Macaca fascicularis: one gene and its partner. The protein of the gene in region 2 purifies or fractionates together with the protein of the main gene of each other region. This does not show direct contact. Links are inferred from orthologs where the notes say so. Each region holds a gene or a part of one and is shown on either strand. Other genes may lie near its edges.

The links.
Region 1: the proteins of DICER1 (region 2) and protein argonaute-1 purify together in Homo sapiens (co-immunoprecipitation; 7 studies listed by BioGRID and IntAct, with this or other methods). This does not show direct contact. The link is inferred for Macaca fascicularis from reciprocal best matches to the Homo sapiens genes DICER1 and AGO1.

Annotation. Positions count from the first base shown.
Region 1 is NC_088375.1:199,025,214-199,028,864, reverse strand, and holds part of protein argonaute-1, read left to right. Parts: intron 1-60; coding exon 61-220; intron 221-402; coding exon 403-493; intron 494-1,557; coding exon 1,558-1,752; intron 1,753-3,651.
Region 2 is NC_088381.1:163,206,184-163,209,934, forward strand, and holds the start of DICER1 (endoribonuclease Dicer), read right to left. Parts: upstream 2,713-3,751; 5' UTR 2,413-2,712; intron 1-2,412. UniProt on the Homo sapiens protein: Double-stranded RNA (dsRNA) endoribonuclease playing a central role in short dsRNA-mediated post-transcriptional gene silencing.

The DNA of each region.
Region 1 (3,651 bases), on a different chromosome or scaffold from region 2:
CTAGTAGGCATTCAGTAAATATTTGTTGAATGCACTAATCATTTCTCTCCCCGCCCATAGCTGAGGTGAAACGTGTTGGAGATACACTCTTGGGAATGGCTACACAGTGTGTGCAGGTGAAGAATGTGGTCAAGACCTCACCTCAGACTCTGTCCAACCTCTGCCTCAAGATCAATGTCAAACTTGGTGGCATTAACAACATCCTAGTCCCACACCAGCGGTATGAACTCTGTTGTCCACTTGCCCTTTTCAAGGTACCATGCTGGGAATTGATGAAGAGATAGGACCCTGGCCAGGCAGAGTGAATCAGACACAAGGGGGAGAAGAGCAGAGTGGGTATTGGATGGTGCCAGCTAGAGAAGACCCAACGCCTCACCATTTTGTTTTCTCTTCCTTGCTCAGCTCTGCCGTTTTTCAACAGCCAGTGATATTCCTGGGAGCAGATGTTACACACCCCCCAGCAGGGGATGGGAAAAAACCTTCTATCACAGCAGTGAGTGATATTCTCCAGCTGCCTCATAAAGTTCTCCTCTTCACTCTGAGTCCTCAAAACTGCCCATGATTTCCTTCCCTCAGCTCTGGCTCTTGACCCTTCATAAGATCTCCATTTAGCTCGCTATTCCCAATTCCCATTCCCTTGATATGTCATAAAGGTAGCTCTGTATGGTGTCTTTTTTCAGGGAGAGTAGTGAGAGTGTAGCCAGAGACTTGACTCATTCTGCATCACTCTTGCTCTGCATTTGAATGTCTGTCTCCCCATGCCTGCTTTTGGCATGTAGGAGAGGGACTGTATCTTCTCTGAAATCCCTTTAAAGGGAGTTACTTAGTTGATGGGACTATCCTTTCCTCTGCCCATCCTCACTGTGTAATAGATTAGATATTTTTCCTATCTCTCTCCTGACTTTTCTGCTCTTTGTCTCCTAGGGGCTTCCAAATTGCTAGGGATCAGACTTCCTTTCCCACTTGTGTTTCCTAAACCCTCACATTTCTGTAGGCACACTGGTCTTAACCTCAGTAAGTGCAGGGAAACCCTATAATACGCTTATCCCTGTTTTTCTTGTGGCCATCCCTCCTAGGCTTTGGCCACTGTCTCCTTTCTAAATGGCGTTTCTTCCATCAACCACAAGAACACTGTTACTATGGTCATGATTCCTGGGTAGATTAGCATTTGAATGGGAAAAAGGATAAACTTGGGACTGGAAGAGGCCATTGTTTGATCTAGTAGTACTAAACCTTCACACGCTCCTCTGCAAAGGGTAGAGAAATCAATTTATCAAGTACCTACTGTGGGCTAGGCCCTGTGTAAGGTGCTTAATATGGACTGCAGTAGCACTGCAAGCAGGTGTTCTTATCAACATCTGAGAAGGGGAAAAAGGATCAGAGAGATTGAGTAACTTCTGCTTGTGTGATAGAATAGAGATTGAAACCAGGGCTCTTTGAATCCCAAGCCCTACTCATTCAGTTGCAGTTTTCTTGCTAAGAAGCCTTTCCACAAACCCATAGCCTGACAGTGAGGGTGAAGGTTCTAGGAGCTAATCCTTTTTCTCTGACTGTCAGGTGGTAGGCAGTATGGATGCCCACCCCAGCCGATACTGTGCTACTGTGCGGGTACAGCGACCACGCCAAGAGATCATTGAAGACTTGTCCTACATGGTGCGTGAGCTCCTCATCCAGTTCTACAAGTCCACCCGCTTCAAGCCTACCCGCATCATCTTCTACCGAGATGGGGTCCCTGAAGGCCAGCTACCCCAGGTAGGGCCCACAGTAGGTGGAGAAAACCTTCACATCATGGCTGGAAAGCTAGGTGCTACTACCTTTTCTAAGCTATTGGCACTGGGAGGTGTGTCACTTCTTCGGGAACTTTGCTAAATGGGGTAGACTTGGGGGCAAGGATGGCAACTGAGGGATGGAGTATACAAGCATCTGTAGATTTTTCTTCTCATAATAGAAGACTCTCAGTGCCTATTTAAGTAGTTGGTTCCTGTTGGAGACTGATTGTTTAGACCAGTGATTCTCAAATGCTAACTTACATTAAGATCACCTGGAGGGCTTGTTAAAACAGTTTTAAGGGCTCTACCCTTAGAGTTTCTGATTCAATGAGTCTTGGATGAGGGCCAAGAATTTACAATACTGACAAGTTCTTAGGCGATGCTGATAGTCTGGAGATTGCATTTGAGGACTAATGCTGTTTTGACCTTCCTTCATAATACTCCTCCTATTCATTCTCACTGCCAGTCTTCATTTTTTTTTTTTTAACTTCTATCCTGAACTGGTATCCTTGACTACCGTTTAATAGTATTATAATTACTGTTCCAGTGAACTTCTTGTGTGCCATGAACTGTGCTAAGCACTTCACGTTTTTTGTGTGTGTGTGTGTGTGTGTTTTTTCCTAAATCTGAGAGGAAACATGTTTTATTTAATGCTTTACAATAGTCCTATGGAATAATAGTGTATTTACATTTAACAGATGAGAAAACAGGCTTGGAAATGTTACATGATTCTTTAATGTCATCAAAGCTAATTAGGAGTGGAACTGGGATTCATACACATTGGTCTGATTCCATAGTTTATGCTCTTAACTGTTAGGCCCAGTTTCTATTTTTCTTTTTTCTTTTTTTCTTTTTTGGCGGGGACAGAGTCTCACTCTTGCCCAGGGTGGAGTGCAGTGGTATGATCTCAGCTCACTGCAGCCTCTGCCTCCTAGGCTGAAGTGATTCTCTTTTCTCAGCCTCCCAAGTAGCTGGGGCTACAGCTATGAGTCATCACATCCAGCTTATTTTTGTATTTTTAGTAGAGCTGGAGTTTCACCATGTTGGCCAGGCTGGTCTCAAACTCCTGACCTCAAATGATCCACCCGCCTTGGCCTCCCAAAGTGCTGGAAATACAGGCGTGAGCCACGGTGCCTGGCCATTATGCCCAATTTCTAAGTCATCCAGTATTTTCTAAAATATCAGACACATTTATCATATCACATATCTGTTCAGAAATGTCTAGTGGCTTCACATAGCTTTGGGTTAAAATTCAAACTGCTTAGTAAAGCAATCAGCAGTTATTAAGCCCTACTAGGTTTTCTGTGCTTTTACTTAATTGTCTATCTTAGTCTTCATAACAGCTTTGTGAAGCAGGTCTTAGTAACATTAACAGATGTGGAGAAAATGAGACTTAGTGGAGTTTAATAACTTGCCCAATGTAATACAACTAGTTAAAGCTTAAATTTACGTCTAATTGATTCCAAAGTCTATCGTTCTGTACCATACAGTTTTGACCCTCTATATCTGACATCCATGGCCATAGGAAACTATTGCCTATGATTATTTACTTCTAGCTTTTCCTTTAGCTAGCCCATTTTCTAATAATCCTGCTTGCTTTGTAGGACTGAATTCACCTACTCTCTCTGCACCCATTATGGAGCTATATGTCTGCTCTTCTCTGGTGGTCCACAACCTGTCTGCTCTTGGAGCCCAAAAGAGAACTCTCATTAGCTGCCTGATCCTGAGTGAAACTAACTTTGGGCATTGTAATTTTAGTGATTTCTCTGTGAACCTTGGTTCTGTGTCTTGATATTAGGTCTCTTTATACACAAGAACCAGATGTTTGTTGTCTTCTGATGCCAAGGCTCCTGGCCAAGGTTTTATAGGAACATATTAAGTG
Region 2 (3,751 bases):
AGATGGATGCTGGTAATGACTAAAAACAATGTGAATGTACTGTATGCCAGCTAGCTGTACACTTAAAATGGTTCAACGTTATGTATATTTTACCATGCCAAATAAAAAAAAGAACAACTATCTGAAATATTCAAATAACCATTCATTCACCTGAACATTTAAGGCTAGACACAGCTTCATTCATTCTGCAAGTCTTAACTGAGGAGTCACTACACGCGATGCAGCCCTGAAATCCACTCGGAACAGTAATGCAATACAAAGAGCGTGCCTGCAAAGATTCTGAAACCAAACCAGGATTCGATCTCGGCTCTGCCACTTCGAAATTCCTAACTTGGAGTAATAATCAGGGACTTTTAGTTTCCTCGCCTGTAAAACAAGGGCAATATTGAGTTGATCGCAGGGTCACAGTAAGGATTAGAAGAGAATGTATGTAGAACCTGAAACATCTTGGCACATAACAAGGAAGCACTCAATAACATGTTTCCCTTATCTCCTTTGCCATGAGCAAGTGGAAATGTGACCACGACATGGTAGGGTCGCAAGTGAGAGAATGTCTACGAAATACCTACCTTCTCAAATGAAACAAGCTCCTCACATGTCAGATAGTGGTAGAGAATAAAACATCGCAACGCCACAAGTCACCCTCTATAGAAGGTAGCACTACAAGTACTGTACAACCCACTATGTGACACCACAAAATCACCGTCAAATAAGAATCATGAGCCACATCAAAAGAAAATGTCTTCTAAAACCAAGACAATAAAGCTCAATAATAGCAAAACCACCCTGTTACCCAACTCACACACTGAGCCACCGGCAAAATACAGCAGTCAGGGCTCACCCTTCAAACATGAGATGGAAGCACAAAAAGTAAAGCAGGCCCTCACTAAAAAGGATTGTAGGAAAATGTCTTTTCTCCCCACATAAAAATGGACTAACTGTTCTTTTCTTAAAACAGCATTTTGGTGCCATGAGTAAATCTATAAACATATGTTACCATGATCAATGTTTACAGTGACCATGTTAAAAGCAATCTTTAGTTTTTTGTTTTTTTAATCTATTGAGTTTTATGGAATATGCCCTAAAATGAAGTTTTGAATGTATATAGCACATATTACATATAATACACACGTGCCACAGGTAGCCTTAAAGTAGACTTTGCAAAATAAACCGGCTATTCCAGAACCTAATTCCCAAAGATATCAATAATATCGAAAATTACTATTCTTTAGGACCTGGCTTATCCCGAACCCATCTTTTAGTAAACTGAGTTTTTTGGTAAGGATGTATATTTTTATTTAGAAAACTTAACGCTTACACCAATACATTTTCAACATAGCTAACCTGTTTTAAAAGCACATTTTTAACAATATTTTCCGAGTTACTTAACTCCTAACCTGAGTCCTTTTCCACTGACTCAAGACAAGCACCACGAAGACACCTGACAATCAGGATTGTAAAGATTCAGAATATTCGAAGACAGAAGCATAGACGTCCAAGTGATCCTCGTTCATCAGATGAATGTTTTTAAAATCTGAAAGTCCTAAGAACACTTACTTATCGTGTAGACCAGTAACGTGTCCCTTTAACCACAACTCTCTCCACAAAAGCACTGAGTGAACACTACACACCAAGGACCCTCCACTCATCTCCACGTTTCCGCAGATCTTCAGGATTCTAAGGACACACTCAGTGGTTTGCTAGCTCTGACCTCCAGGCAGAGCCATCAGGGCGACTCAGCTTTTCTGGACAATCTACATAAATCTGATGTGCTAACTTAAAACATACTCTGATTTCCCCAAAATCAAAAACCCTGAAGAAAGGCTCCTCCGCAGGGTCTGGGCATGTTGGCACAAAAACATCTGAGGGGAGAGGAAAAAGAATGGCCTCGGCCCCGCCCGCCCCCCCGGGCTCCGATCTGGTCCCCTGACAGTAATCACACAGGACCCTCCCGGGAGGGACCTAGAGCCCGACTTCGTCCCCTCCGAGCGCGGCGCAGCGGCCCCATCACAGGAGGGCCCCAGGGTGCTCCGGCTGGCAGGGCGCGTCTCCACCTCCGCTGTTCCTGCGCCACTTTCGCGCGCGTGACGGGACCTGTCAAGAACCCCCTGGCCTCGCCAGGCCGGGGAGTGGGCAGGCGCCGGCGTCCCCCACCACGCCACGGAGGTCCGGAGAGTCTCCCAGGGCTGCCTCGCGCTGAGGCGCCGGGGTGGGCAGACACCGGGTCCACAGGCCGCGCTGCGCGGGACGACGAGGCAAGCGAGGCCGCGCCCTCCACCAGCACCCGCCAGGCCCGGACGCGCGGCCCGGGCCCATGGCCGGCACGCGGGCCTCAGCGCGGAGGCGGGAGCGCGGCTGGGCTTGCCGCTCCCGGCCCCGGACACAAAGCTGCTCCGCGGGAGCCCGCCTCACCTGCAGCACGGGGCGCCGCGGGCCTTCGAGAACCATCGGACCCCGCTCCGGCGCGCGCGTCACAGCCCAGGCCTCCCGGAGCCGCCCGGCGCCGCCGCCCCCGCCGCCATTTCCTCGCGCTAGCCGTTGCCTCGTCCCCGCTGTCAGGTTACTCCATTCACCTGGGCCTGCAGCAGCCTGCGCCGCGCCTCCGCCTCGACCCCTCCCGCCGGCCCCTGCGGAGACTGCGCAGCGCCCGGCTGGCCCGCAGCCTGCGCACGGCCCGCGGCAACGGCGCACAGCCGCTTGGAGAATCCCACTGGCGCCCGCGCCGCCCCTCCGCGCCCCCACGCTCCGCTCGCCCCGTGGCGGCATGAGAGCGAGCCTGTGATTGGACAGGGCCCAGCGGTGAAAGGTTAATCCCGGCCCCCCAGCCATTCAGGAGCAGGGAGACAGCGGGTGTGCGCGCCGAGGCCGAGGCGGTGTTTGCGGCCCAGTGCCGAGACTGGACCCTAGTGGCCTGGAGTCTTTGGGGCCCTCGGTAACCCGCGGGCCGAGGCCGGCTAAGTTTGGCTGACTATCTCAGCTCTCGGAATTCGACTGCCTCCATTGTTGCCCCTTCTGGCACCTACAGACCGTAACGTGGCCGTAATTGTTCCCCAGAGAGCCTAGCTTCTCTCTGAGCACCTCCCTCCCCTTTTTAAAGTACCTTCCCACTCGCCTGCGTTTCCCCGCGTTAGTGGTGCAGGGGCCTTCGCATTTGGGGAAATAACAAACACCCACTTCCGCCCCCCCACCCCAACTGGGATCCCCAGATAATGAGAAATAGACGGTGGCCCTCTGTATGTACACTGATCATTTGCATAGGTCGGAACCACCCACCACATCTCGTAGCTAGGAGTTAAAATATCGGTGGGAGTTACATAAGTGACTGGCTTAAAGAACATTGTCTTAATTTATCCCCAAATGTAGACATCTGTTCGGTGGACTCCCTGATAGGCCGGTTTGCTCCAGGTGAGGTGTGCTCACAGCAACTGCAACCGTGTTGCTTTCAGCCCATGGGCGTGAGCAGAACCTACTCTGCGCCGGTGCTGCCTGGGCTGTGCTGTTCAGTTTGGGGCCACCAGCCCCGCATGGCTCCTGAGCACTTAAAGTATGGCTAGTCCGAATCGAGGTGTATGCGTTCTTTACCAAATAATGTTCAAAAAATTGTTACATGTTGAAGTGATAAACGTTTTTTGATATATTGAGATCAATATATCAAAATATATAAAAATATCAGTTTTATTTATTTTTTAGTGTGGGTCCTACAGAATTTTAAATGTCATCTGTGGCCTGCATTATATTGCCATTGGACAGG